2 linked regions of the Stegostoma tigrinum genome follow. The protein of the gene in region 1 binds, or shares a complex with, the protein of each later gene. Links are inferred from orthologs where the notes say so. Each region holds a gene or a part of one and is shown on either strand. Other genes may lie near its edges.

Evidence for each region. The genes of interacting proteins can lie anywhere in the genome.
Region 2: the proteins of poly [ADP-ribose] polymerase tankyrase-2-like (region 1) and sh3bp2 are in contact, whole or in part, in a crystal structure (PDB 3TWR), measured with the Homo sapiens proteins. The link is inferred for Stegostoma tigrinum from reciprocal best matches to the Homo sapiens genes TNKS2 and SH3BP2. Residues at the interface, in NP_079511.1 of Homo sapiens: Arg525, Ser527, His531, Phe532, Gly535, Tyr536, Asn537, Arg538, Leu560, Asn565, Ser568, Tyr569, His571, Asp589, Trp591, Phe593, Glu598, Lys604; in NP_001116153.1 of Homo sapiens: Leu413, Gln414, Arg415, Ser416, Pro417, Pro418, Asp419, Gly420, Gln421, Ser422, Arg424.

What each region holds. Positions count from the first base shown.
Region 1 is NC_081373.1:43,619,474-43,626,705, reverse strand, and holds the start of poly [ADP-ribose] polymerase tankyrase-2-like, read left to right. Parts: upstream 1-4,224; 5' UTR 4,225-4,348; coding exon 4,349-4,568; intron 4,569-7,232. UniProt on the Homo sapiens protein: Poly-ADP-ribosyltransferase involved in various processes such as Wnt signaling pathway, telomere length and vesicle trafficking.
Region 2 is NC_081356.1:130,336,109-130,343,438, forward strand, and holds the start of sh3bp2 (SH3 domain-binding protein 2), read right to left. Parts: upstream 3,016-7,330; 5' UTR 2,915-3,015; intron 1-2,914. UniProt on the Homo sapiens protein: Binds differentially to the SH3 domains of certain proteins of signal transduction pathways. Binds to phosphatidylinositols; linking the hemopoietic tyrosine kinase fes to the cytoplasmic membrane in a phosphorylation dependent mechanism.

The DNA.
Region 1 (7,232 bases):
AAGGAAACAATCACAGACCCGAATATTAGGTTGTCAGAAAAGAAACACTGTGCACGAATACATTTTTGATTTACACACTCAGCATAAGAGACGTCTGTCTAGAAGTACAAAGTCAGAACATGACACCTATCATCGCACAGTTGATATCATCATATGCATTGGAGTGGCCTAAATTTATCATTGTTGCTACGGTACATTTATTTAAAAGGCAGCAATTATTAAAATACATTCTACAGTACAGCAGTGTTTTCTAGTGAAAGCCATTGTTATAACAGAAATAGAGGACCTTCTAGCAAGAAAAATAAAAGTTGTGGAAGGTTTTATTTCAAACCTTATCTTTGAGATTTTTTTTATTGCTTCCTCCTGATGCTGGTCAATTGTGTCAGAGACATTTCCAATAAAATAATGAAAGTACAGTGATTGTAGATTTCTAGTTTAAAGGTTATTTTCTTTCTCTTTTCTTCTGCTTCCTAAGATAATACGTAATGGTTCCATGACTATTGAAAGTCCTTCGCTTCTACATCTGATGGAATACTAATTTCAGGCATTTTGAGATTTTGTGTTAACAGCAAACAACATGCCTGCTGACAGGGCAGGCTCAGAAAACAATCATTATGTGAACAGAGTGCAGGTACTGAGATAACGAATAATCATGCCATAATCAATGCTTGGTTGTACAACCTGAGCCTGGATTTTTGCCAAACTGGACTGATTTGAGAGCTATGTAAATATGGTCGGCAGGATATGATTCTGAGCTTCCTATTTCCATTTCCAGCTGTTTTCATCAACGTGGGACAAGGATGCAGTAGCAATCCTCTGTGTAGAAACACCTCCCCTGATGGCTTCATTGGGTGCCGTTCAACTCCCCAAACACAACTTCGATGAAGTTGGACCCCTCTGGCATATAGACATGGTTCACAACCCTTCAGAGAAATTGTGAACCAGTGGGAACAACAGATTCAAGTAATCAAAACAGAAAAAAAGGGCATTCAATATTTATGTTGAACTATATTGGCCTCTTAACATCTCATATAGCTATAATCAGTCACAGTCCTATCTAGTTTCAAAGTCAGATATTTTTATTTACCCACACCTTTTAATCCTGCATATAAATAATCCTGAATTTAAAAAAAAAGCAGTCGAAATACTCTTCAAAGTCACAGCAGACCCTTAGAAGGTAACAGAAATATCAATCAAGCAACAAATTCCCTTACCTCTGCAGTTGTATAATGCCCTAGGTGCATTAGCCATTGTTAGAACTCAGCCAACTATTCATAATGACATCACCTGCTATATCTCTTTTGTTCATACACTTGTTTATACAGCAGCACACACTATGTTGACTGACATCAGCATCTGCAGTTTTTGGTATCTTCTCATTAGTAAACAGAACTGTTGTTTTGACAAGGGACCATGACTTGTCATTTCACTGTGATCCTGTCTTTCTCACATTGTAACAAGGTTCCCATATGACAATTTTCCTGTAATAATTAGTTACTTCAGTAATCCCTTCACTTGGAATATCTGTATCATATTTGTTCCTTTAATTATAATGTTATTCCATTTTAAAGTTACATTTTTATTATTGTCTCTGACTGCACCTTTCCTTCATTTATTATTGTAAAGTCCCTTTCTCACACTAATTCTCTTTTCTGTTCAGAACAATTCTCAGTGGTACATTACTGCTGTCTCTGTAATGCTGCCAGAACCCTGCAAAATTCCACGCCACCTCACACCACCCTTTTAGGTTATTTTACATTTAATTAGAAAATAAGGGTCACTGTCACTGACTCGGCCAGCATTTACTGTCCATTTCTAACTATTTGGTAACATGCAGGTGGTGCTGTTTCTGTGTATCTGCTGCTCTCAACCTTCTAGATGGTAGTGGTCATGCATTTGCAAAGTGTAATGTGAGGATACTTGATGAGTTGTTATAGTTGCATTGCATCTGTCAATGACACAAACTGCTGCCACCAGTTTCTGGTCAAATGGTAACTCCCACAATGTTGATCATGTGCAATTCAGCAATGGCAATGCCATTGAAGGTCAAAGGTTATGGTTGAATTTTCTCTTGTTAGAAATGGTCATTGGGGCTGTGATGATTGACTGCCAATCACCGCAACTACTTCGCTTTCTGCACCCTTAGTCACATGATTATCTTCCAGCTCTTTCTTGCCCTCTGACAGCTAGTAAATGGCTTGTGTAATATTCCTGAGATCATCACAGTTGAGCCATTGACTTCTAGGTTATCTCCTAACTCCTAATATTCCATCAAGAGAAATTACTCCATTTCTTCCCTGTTATCATTAGATCTGATCATTTCCAGCCACACTGAGATTTCTCCTGCTGAGGTTCTCAATCGTAACCACTGAAGATGCCAACCATCTTTCTAACGAGTGAGTCCTCTAGAAGTACATTTTTCCTATTCTGGTCCTCCTACCTTGCCTCCCTCAAACTGCATCTTGAACACCTTGCTGCTCCATGGTGCCGAAGTCAGCACTGTGACTTCTTTCCCCAAGTCTTTTTGCTTACCCTAACAAATATCAAGTACATTGTACCTGTTGGACAGAACAGTGTCTGCAGGATCTCCTCCTCTATCTCCCCCTAGTTGACCTTACTCTGCTAGCGGTTTTCAATAAGCAATAATCGCACCTTGGTTAAACCCCATTGGCCACAATACTGCCACTGTGCGTAGTGAGATGCTCAAAAACAACAAAAGGAATGCTGGAAGTCTGATACATACACCAAAACTGCTGGAGAAACATCTTCCTGAAGAAGGGTCACTGGACCTAAAATGTTAACTTTGCTTTTTATCTACAGATGCTGCTAGGTCTGCTGAGTTTCTGCAGCAATTTCTACATTTGTAACAGTCTGACTCTCACCTTCTTTTGCACATCAAAGTTGTGATTGTATTCCAGGCAAAAACTAACCAGAAATTCCTACCATCTTATGTATTGAAATATCTTGAAATCAAAGGATTTTGAGTTGTGCATCAAAACAGTGGTGTTTACTGCAAATCTGGCTTTCCGGATCAGTCTCAATATCTACAAACTCTCACATAATGGTTCCAGGGCAGACTGTACTGCACTGTAATTTCCAAGGGGAAGGGAGGGTATTGCTGTAATTTAACTCTTAAGTGAAATCAAATTATTTGTTCACATTACAGTTTGTAGACAGATTTGGCATAATTTCAGGATAATTTGTGACTAATGTGCAAGATATTACATAAAAGCGTGTAATTTCAATTGAGAAATTTTAGGGGGATGATATCACTTCTTAGTGCATGTACATTCAAGTGAGTGTCATAACAGCTTTGTGTTTTAATTAACAATAAAAGAGCTACAACAATAATAGGAACAAAAGAACTGAGCATGCTCTGAAGATCTGAAATAAAAACAAAGGAAAGACCCCATTGGTCCAGCAGCATCTGTGGAAATATGAAACAGGGCTAATGTTTGAATACAATATGACTCTTTAACGTTGCCCAATACTTTTATCAAGATCATGGCTTTCAAAAAGTAACTGAATCTCACGATTACGGCGTAGGAGGAAGGTGATCATTTGGCTCATCGTGTCTGCACCTGTTCTCTGAATGAGTGTTACGACAATGTGCCATCCTCCTCCATGTTAATTCCCCATACCCTTGAATATTCCAGTTAACTAACCATCAGTTGTAGGCAGAGCTTTAGGACCATGGAGCAACCTCACAATGATGTCACGGAGTTGCTTCCTACAACGGTATAAACAGCACAGTACGGGTGGAATTTAAGATAGGAGTAGATAGGCGGGAAAAAAAACATAAGAACTAGGAGCAGGCAACCCAGCGCCTTGAGCCTGCTTTGCTATTTGATATGATCATGGCTGATCATAGAAGATCATTAGAGTTTAACGAACAGTTGCTTAACAAAAAGGTGAGAACCTGGTATATCTTTCCGGAAATGGTTGTGCATGGTATTATCAAAGGATGAAGGCTCGTAAAGAGTTAACTTTGCTTCCCTCCACCTGCCTATCTACGAACTGCAATCTCAGGTGTGCCCTTAAAATCATAGGTCGGGATATCGTTTTTGAATAAGGCTACCTTCAGAAACCAATTACGATTCACTTGCTTTCTACTTCTGAGAAGGAACGGGAACTCTTACCTGAACATAATAACTTGCTGTCCCCTCCATCCGAGAGATGGTAAAACTGCACATGCGTCTTTCCTTAGCAGTCGCCGGCTATGCTCACGTGACGCTGGCCGTTGCTTGCGCGCGGGACAAAAGGCTGGGGGGGAGCTCGAGCTGCTCCTGCTGATGGTTTGTGGTGGGGGGTGGGGCGCAGAACATCACGTCTCCCTTTACCTGCTTCCATGGCGTCTCGTCGCTGCCCCGGAGTGGCAGGTTCCTCTTCCTCCAGCTCGGGGGAGCATCGATCGACTTCGATATCAGCTCATCCTGACCCGACCAGAGTGCTGTTCGAGAGTTGCAGGAACGGGGATGTGGTCCGGGTGAGGAGACTGCTAAGGGCTGACAATGTGAACGCCAGGGACACGGCAGGGCGCAAGTCGACCCCTTTGCATTTTGCTGCGGGTAAGTTAAAACCGTGCTCTGCACCCCTCCCTCCGCAGCACGGTATGGCGGCCTCGGTCGAGGCCCGTATTCATTTGCTGAAACGTGAAGTTGCTATTTTCTTTTATTTTCCGTTTGCTTTCTTTTTTGCACGTCGATCAGATATTGTCTGTTTGTGTGGATTCGCCCCAAGTCCGCAAGTGAACTTGGTGCAGAAGTTTCAAAATGTAATTTTTTGTGGATGTTGATTTGCGACTGTTCATCATTCCGCCATTCATACCACTTGCAAAATTTTTGTTTTTTGCTTCATTACCACTCTATTAAGCCAGTCATACTGCAGGTAGGGGATGATTGACCACCAGACAGTCCCAAGACAACTAGACAGGTAATACAGCAGTCCCAAGATCCCACACAAGAACCTGCTTTCTATTCCGGATACAATATCAAAAATACATAACCAGAAAGGGCTGCAATCCCTTGGTGTTCCGAGATAATAAAATGTGAGGCTGGATGAACACAGCAGGCCAAGCAGCATCTCAGGAGCACAAAAGCTGACGTTTCGGGCCTAGACCCTTCATCAGAGAGGGGGCTGGGGAGAGGGAACTGGAATAAATAGGGAGAGAGGGGGAGGCGGACCGAAGATGGAGAGTAAAGAAGATAGGTGGAGAGAGTATAGGTGGGGAGGTAGGGAGGGGATAGGTCAGTCCAGGGAAGACGGACAGGTCAAGGAGGTGGGATGAGGTTAGTAGGTAGATGGGGGTGTGGCTTGGGGTGGGAGGAAGGGATGGGTGAGAGGAAGAACCGGTTGGGGAGGCAGAGACAGGTTGGACTGGTTTTGGGATGCAGTGGGTGGGCGGACAGAGCTGGGCTGGCTGTGTGGTGCAGTGGGGGGAGGGGACGAACTGGGCTGGTTTAGGGATGCAGTAGGGGAAGGGGAGATTTTGAAACTGGTGAAGTCCACATTGATACCATATGGCTGCAGGGTTCCCAGGCGGAATATGAGTTGCTGTTCCTGCAACCGTCGGGTGGCATCATTGTGGCAGTGCAGGAGGCCCATGATGGACATGTCATCTAGAGAATGGGAGGGGGAGTGGAAATGGTTTGCGACTGGGAGGTGCAGTTGTTTGTTGCGAACTGAGCGGAGGTGTTCTGCAAAGCGGTCCCCAAGCCTCCGCTTGGTTTCCCCAATGTAGAGGAAGCTGCACCGGGTACAGTGGATGCAGTATACCACATTGGCAGATGTGCAGGTGAACCTCTGCTTAATGTGGAATGTCATCTTGGAGCCTGGGATAGGGGTGAGGGAGGAGGTGTGGGGGCAAGTGTAGCATTTCCTGCGGTTGCAGGGGAAGGTGCCGGGTGTGGTGGGGTTGGAGGGCAGTGTGGAGCGAACAAGGGAGTCACGGAGAGAGTGGTCTCTCCGGAAAGCAGACAGGGGTGGGGATGGAAAAATGTCTATGGTGGTGGGGTCGGATTGTAAATGGCGGAAGTGTCGGAGGATGATGCGTTGTATCTGGAGGTTGGTAGGGTGGTTTGTGAGAACGAGGGGGATCCTCTTAGGGCGGTTGTGGCGGGGGCGGGGTGTGAGGGATGTGTTGCGGGAAATACGGGAGACGCGGTCAAGGGCGTTCTCGATCACTGTGGGGGGAAAGTTGCGGTCCTTAAAGAACTTGGACATCTGGGATGTGCGGGAGTGGAATGTCTTATTGTGGGAGCAGATGCGGCGGAGGCGGAGGAATTGGGAATAGGGGATGGAATTTTTGCAGTAGGGTGGGTGGGAGGAGGTGTATTCTAGGTAGCTGTGGGAGTCGGTGGGCTTGAAATGGACATCAGTTACAAGCTGGTTGCCTGAGATGGAGACTGAGATATCCAGGAAGGTGAGGGATGTGCTAGAGATGGCCCAGGTGAACTGAAGGTTGGGGTGGAAGGTGTTGGTGAAGTGGATGAACTGTTCGAGCTCCTCTGGGGAGCAAGAGGCGGCACCGATACAGTCATCAATGTACCGGAGGAAGAGGTGGGGTTTGGGGCCTGTGTAGGCACGGAAGAGGGACTGTTCCACGTAACCTACAAAGAGGCAGGCATAGCTGGGGCCCATGCGGGTGCCCATGACCACCCCCTTAGTCTGTAGGAAGTGGGAGGAGTCAAAAGAGAAGTTGTTGAGTGTGAGGACAAGTTCAGCTAGGCGGATGAGAGTGTCGGTGGAGGGGGACTGGTCGGGCCTGTGGGACAGGAAGAAGCGGAGGGCCTTGAGGCCATCTCCATGCGGAATGCAGGTGTACAGGGACTGGACGTCCATGGTGAATATGAGGTGTTCGGGGCCAGGGAATTGGAAGTCCTGGAGGAGGTGGAGGGCGTGGGTGGTGTCACGGACGTAGGTGGGGAGTTCCTGGACCAAAGGGGAGAAAATGGAGTCCAGAAAGGTGGAGATGAGTTCGGTGGGGCAGGAGCAGGCTGAGACGATGGGTCGACCAGGGCAGGCAGGTTTGTGGATTTTGGGAAGGAGATAGAAACGGGCCGTGCCGGGTTGGGGAACAATGAGGTTGGAGGCTGTGGGTGGGAGGTCCCCTGAGGTGATGAGGTCGTGAATGGTGTTGGAGATGATGGTTTGGTGCTCGGGTGTGGGGTCATGATCGAGGGGGCGGTAGGAAGTGGTGTCGGAGAGTTGGCGTCTGGCCTCGGCGATGTAGA
Region 2 (7,330 bases), on another chromosome or scaffold:
TGAAGAGTTTGAGCTACACAGAGATGCTAAATTGGCAGGGGCTCTTCCCTGAAACATCAGGGACTGAAGGGTGATCTTAAGATATTTATAAAATAAAGAAGAGCATGGATAGGGTAAATAGCTCTTATCTACATCAGTGGAACTGAGGTGGAGATGGTTGAGAGCATCAACCAGTCTCCCTTCCAAAGGATAATACAATGTGAGGCTAGATGAACACAGCAGGCGCAGCAGCATCTCAGGAGCACAAAAGCTGATGTTTCGGGCCTAGACCCTTCATCTAGGCCCAGAACGTCAGCTTTTGTGCTCCTGAGATGCTGCTGGGACTGCTGTGTTCATCCAGCCTCACATTTTATTATCTTGGATTCTCCAGCATCTGCAATTCCCATTATCACATCCCTTCCAAAGGAGAAATGTTGTGAAACTTGAAAGGGTTTAGGAAAGATTTATGAGGATTTTGCCAGGGTTGGAGGGTTTCAGCTATAGGGAGAGATAGACTGGGGCTATTTCCCCCAACTGTCAGAGGCTGACACTTATAGAGGTTCATAAAATCATGAGAGGCATGGATAGGGTAAATAGACAAGGTCTTTTCCCTGGGATGGGGAATCAAAAACTAGAGGGCATAGGTTTAAGGTAAGTAGGGCAAGATAGAAAAGGCACCTAAGGGGCAACTTTCTCACGCAAAGGGTTTTGCATGTATGGAATGTGCTGCCAGAGGAAGTGGTGGAGGCTGGTATAATGACAGCGTTTAAAAGACATCTGGGTGGGTATATGAATAGGAAGGGTCTTAGAGGGATATGGGCCAAATGCTGGCATATGGGACTAGGTCAGAATCGGATGTCTGGTCAGCGTGGATAAGTTGGGCCAAAGGGTCTGTTTCGGTGTTTTATATCTCCATGACTCGAAATCCAATGTGGCCAATTACAAGTCTTGGTTCAAACATAGACAAAAGAGCTCAATTCTAGAGGTGAGGTAGGAGTGGCATCAAGGTTGCATATGACTGAGTGTGGCATAAGGGAATCCTAACAAAACTTGAATCTATGGGCATTGGGGGCAAACTGTTTGCTGGTTGGAGTCATATGCACATTGGAAGATGGTCATTGTCGTTGGAGGTCAGTTTTCTCAGCTCCAGGACATTTCTGTAGGAGTTCTTCACGTTCATGTCCTCAGCCCAACCCTCTTCAATTACTTCATAAATGACCTAGTCTCCAAAATAAAGATCTTTAGACAGCACCTTCCAAACTTCTAACCACTTCCACCTTGAAGAACAAAGCCAGTAGTTAGGTGGGAACACTACCCCCTGCAAGTTCCCCTCCAAGCCACTCACCATCCTGAATTGGAAATATATTGCCACTCCTTCACTGTCGCTGGATCACAGTACTGGAATCCTCTCCCTAACGACATTGTTGGGTCATCCTTCAGCATGTGGACCTCAGCAGTTCAAGAAGACAGCACACTACCACCTTCTCAAGAGCAACTAGGAATGGGCAATAAACACTGGCCCAAACAGTGATGCCTATTCCCCTGAGTGAATTAAAATTAAATGAGGTCAGAAGTGGGGGTGTTCATTGATGATTGCACTATTTTCAGCACCACTTACAACTCCTCAGATACTGATGCAGTCCACATTCAAATGCAACAGGATCTGGACAATTTCCAGGCTTGGGCTGACAAGTAGCAAATAACAATTGTGTCACACAAATGCCAGGTTATGACCATCTCCAATAATGGACAATCTAACCACTGCCCTTTGACATTCAATGGCTTTAACATCACTGAATCCCCCACTATCAACATTCTGGGGGTTACCATTGACCAAAAACTCACCTGGACTTGCCACATAAATGTGGTGGCTATGAGAGCAGGTCAGAGGCTAGGAATACTGCGGCGACTAATTCATCTCCTGACTGTCCAAAGCCTGTCCACATCTACAAGGCATGAGTCAGGAGTGTGATGGAATACTCCCCACTTGCCTGGATTGGTGCAGCCCCAACAACACTCAAGAAACTTGACACCATCCAGGACAAAGCAGCCGCTTGATTGGCACTACACCCAGAACCATTCACTCCCTCCACCAGTAACAGCAGTGTGTACCATCTACAAGATGAACTGCAGAAATTCACCAAGGATTCTCAGGCAGCACCTTCCAAACCTACGACCACTTCCATCTAGAAGGACAAGAGCAACAAATACATGGAAACACCACCCCTGCAAGTTCCCCTCCGAGCCACTCACCGCCCTGACTTGAAAATACATCCCCTGTTCCTTCACTGTCATTGGATCAAAATCCTGAAATTCCCTCGCTTACACCATTGTGGGTCAACCCACTATATGTGGACTGCAGCGCAAACCACCTTCTGATGGGCAACTAAGGACGGACAATAAATTCCAGGCCCAGCCAGAGATACCCAGATCCTACGAGTGAATAAAAAATGTGAGGGGTCCTCAACAGCACCATGAGTTTGTCCCAGTCTCTCTTCACGGATACTCAGCGCTTCTAGCCTTTCCTGGATTTCATTTTAAAATAGAACAAATTAATATTAAATTTCCAGACTAGGATTGGGCCGAATGGTCATCAAATCCTTAAATTCTTTAAATAATTTATGAAATGTAAATATTGACATTTGTTTTCTGTTCCTGTGCTCTCTGTCGCCCTGTTTAGTTTTTCATCTCCACTCAGTAAACAGGCTGTAACCTCATTGAATAAGCACAAGGGACAGATCACAGTCCCACTCATGTCCGGGACAAACGCTATTTTCACTACATCTGGAGGCGAACCTTCCAAACGCGTAGTTAGAACTCAACCTACAAGCCTCTGAGTTTATAATTCATCTCTCCCTCTGTTCTGAAGTTTCAACTCTACCTGTCTTGACTTCTCTTTTTGATTAAAAGAAAGACACTAGCTATGGCACTGTACCTGAGCAAAGCTTCCATAAGAGTGGTCAGTTAGAAAGGCAGCAGCTCGATGTTAAAATCCGGAATGCGAACAGTCCTACTGACTCGCTGAGTCTCTGAGCCAACACTGCTCTGTCTCTCTCTCTCTCTCTCTCAACTTCCTCAACTGAATCCGCTGACTCAGTTCCTTTGCACGGGTTTGACTTTATGCTTTCAAAAAAAAAGCTCACTGACGCCTTGTCGGGCAACTGTTAGAAACTGCAGGTGCAATGAGTAAATGCTGCCCCGGAGTTAACCCTGGGGGTGGGGGTTTGGCCGAGGGGGCAAGGTAGGGTGTCCGACAGAGAGCAGCCTGGGCACGAAACTCCTGTTGCCACTGGCCTTTGCATTCAGCATGTAAACGCTGGACATAAAGAGCAGCATCAGAACCCGGGGGCACACTGACTGACAGCTAGTCAGTGATAGAAACTAGAGTTAGGATCATGGATAAGACTCCTCAACTCTCTGCACCGCAAATCACTTCTCGCTTTGCACTTTGGAGTGAATTTGAGCTGATTTCAAAAAGTTTGGAAACAAAATGCTGGTGAAGCTGTCAAATGAGGCCAACACCATCATTACAAGCACACAACCACTGACCCATGTGTACATCTATACACTCATACACTGACCCATTTGTGTACATCTACACATGCGTGAACGCATAGACTGACCCCATGTGTGTCCATCTAAACATAGACACACTGACCCATGCGTGTATACACACACACACGCGCACACACACAGACCTATGTGTGTGCATCTGCAGAAACACACGCATACTGACCCGTATGTACATTTGCTGACCATGTGTGTACATCTACTCTCATACACCCTGACACGTGTGTATTCCACACACACAGATTTATGTGCGTACACCTAATTACAGATGCACTGATTCGTCTGTTATATATCCACACATACACTGTCCTATATGTATACATCTACAGAAACACATGCACACTGACCTATTTGTACATTTAAACACACATATGCTGACCATGTGTGTACATCTACACTTACACACACACACACTGACCTTTATGTGTACATCGACACAAACACACACATTCACACATACACTGACCCATGTGCGTACATCTACAAGCACACACACACACAGACCTAAGTGTGTGCCTCTACACTCACACAAACACACACACACATCTATGTGTGCACATCTACACAAACACACACAGACCCGTGTGTACATCTAAGCATATGCACACTGACCTTTTGTGTACATTACACAAGCACACAGGCTTACACAAATACTGACCCATGTATGTACATCTACACTCACACACACACTGACCCAGGTGTGTACACCTGCACTCACGCACACACAGAGACCCGTGTGTATCCTTCTACATATACACACTCACACATACTGATCCATGTGTGTACATCTACATTCACACTAACTGACCTATGTGTGTACATCCATGCATACACAAGCTGACCTATTTGTGAACATCTACAGACATAGTCCTGTTGTTCATTGGTTAACTCAATTGGCTGGATAGCTGGTTTTTGATGCTAACAGTATGTGTTCACTTTCCACACTGGCTGAGGTTACCATAAAGGGATCTCCTGCTACCAGAGGTATTGCGACCCTCAGGTTAAACCACCACCAGTTATTTCTCTTTAATGAGAGAGCAGGGCTATGGTGACTTTTGCATTGACCCATGAGTGTGCATATCTGCATAAACACTGATCTTGAGTGTGTGCATCCACCAACATATAGAAAGTCCTATAAGAGATAGGACAGTGTTGGACCTATTCTGAGGGAGCAAAGCCAGGCTAGTGGGAAACGTGAGTCTACTATCAGTATTAGGGATACTGTTGGAAAAAATTCTCAGAAACAAAATCTTCATTTAGAAAGGCAAGGATTAATCAAAGATAGTCAACATGGTTTGAAAGGAGGAGATCATTTCTCACAAATTGGAATGAATTTTTCAGGGAGCTGATTAGGTGTGTAAATGAGGGTAGTGCAAATGATAGGGTAGTCAACATGTAAGCCTTTCAACAAGGGCTAGCATGACAAACTAATTAAGAAGCATAGAGTCCACGGGATCCTGGACAATTTGCCGAATTAGATCCAAAATTGGCTTCGTGGCAGGAAGCAGAGGATGATGATCGAAGGGTTTTTGTGAGACAAGAAGCCTGTGTATAGTGGCATACCACAAGTTTTGTTGCTGGGTCCCTTGCTGCTTGTAGCACACATTAATGATCTAGACATGAATAGAGGAGTTATGATCAGTAAGTTTGCAGATAACACAAAAATTGGTGGTACTTTAAGTAGTGAAGTGGAAAGTCTTAGCCTACAGGATGATATAGATACAGTGGTCAGATGGGCTGAACACTGGCAAATGGAATTTAATGTTGAAAAGAGTGAGGTGATGCATTTTGGAAGGACTAACAAGGCAAGGGAATACATAATAAATTGCAGGACCTAGGAAGTACAGAAGATCAGAGGGACCTTAATGTGGATGTCCATAGATCCTTCAAGATCACAAGACAAGTATGTGGTTTAGAAGTCATTATGGAATTTCTAAATTGATCAGTCAAGGCATTGAATTCAAGAGCAAGGAGGTTATAATGGAGCTGCATAATGTTAGTTAGGCCATAGCTGGAGTACCGTGTGCAAGTCTGGTCACCACACTGTAGGAAATATGTGATTGCATTAGACAGGGTGCAGAGGAGATTCATCAGGATATTGCCTGGGTTGGAGCGATTCATCTATGAAGACAGACTAGATAGGCTGGGGTTGTTTTCCTTAGAACAGGGGTGGGAGGGGGTCATATGATTGAGTAGTATGAAGTTCTGCGCGGCATAGAGAGAGTACATGGGGAAAATCCTTTCCCCTCAGCAGAGGGAACAGTACCCAAGGGACATAGGTTTAACATAAAGGACAGAAGGTTTAGAGGGGCTTTGAAGAAACCAGCTTTCATTCAGAGGATGGTGGGTATCTGGAAATCAGTGCCAAAAATGGTGGTAAACGCAGGAAAACTCAAGACATTTTAGAAGTATTTAGATGAGCACTTGAAATGCCACAGCATACATAGTTACAGGCCAAGTGTTGGAAAATGGAACAAAAAATAGACACTTTATGCATGGACATGATAGGAATTGTTTAAAGGGCCGCTGATGAGAGCTCATTAGCATGTTCCAGTAAAGAGGAAGGACAAAGATGGTAAGGTAATGGACTTTTGGAACACGAGGGAAGCTGTGAATTTAGTCGAAACAGAAAAAGGAAACATATGTAATGTTTAGAAAGCTAAAATCAGACAGGGCCCGAGAGGATTATAAGGAAATCAGGAAAGCACTGAAGCTGGGAATTAAGAGAGCAACAAGAAGCCATGAAATGACCTTGGCAAGTAGGGTTAAAGAGAATCCCAAGTCATTCTACAGTTACATTAAAAACAAAAGGATAACTAGGGAGTAGGTAGGACATTTCAAGGATAAAGGATAAACTTTTGCTTGTAGACAGAGGATGTGGGTGATATCCTAAATAAGTACTTTGTACCGGTTTTCACCATGGAAAAGGATATGGAGGATAGTGAGATTTGCATGGAGCATGCTAATATGCTGGGGCATTTTGAGATTAAGAAAGAAGTGCTGTTGGACCTCTTGAAGAGCATTAAGGTGAATAAGTTCCCAGGATCCAATGGTATCTACCCCAAGTTACTGAGAGAGGTAAAAGAGGAGATTGTTCGGTCCTTGACTAAGATCTTTGTATCCTCACTAGCCACTGAAGAGATCCCAGAGGACTGGCAAGTAGCTAATGTTGTTCCTTTGTTCATGAACGGAAATAAGGACGACTCATGAAGCTGTAGACCAGTGAACCTTACATCAGTGGTCGGGAAGCTATTGGAGAGAATTCTTAGGGATAGTATTTATAGACATTTGGAAAAGCATGATCTAATTAGAGACAGTCAGCAAGGCTTTGTGCAGGAGAGGTCATGTCTTACTAACTTGATTGAATTTTTGGAAGAGGTGACAAAGGTCATCTATGAGTATGGAGCAGTGGATGTTGTTTACACGGATTTTAGTAAGGTTTCTGACGAGGTCCCTCATGGCAGTTTGATCCAGAAGATTAAGATGCATGGGATCCACAGTGGCTTGGCCATGTGGATTCAGAATTGGCTTGCCCACAGAAGGGTGTTTTCAGGCTGGAGACCCGTGACTAGTGATAGTGCACAGGGATCCATACTAGGGCCTCTACTGTTTGTGGTAAATATAAATGACTTATGTGTAAATGTAGATGGGTTGGTTAGTAAGTGTGCAGATGATACAAAAATCAGTGGATTTGTGGATAGTGTAGAAAGTTGTCAAAGGATACACTGTGACATGGATCAGTTGCAGATATGGGCGGAGAAATGGCAGACAGAGTTTAATC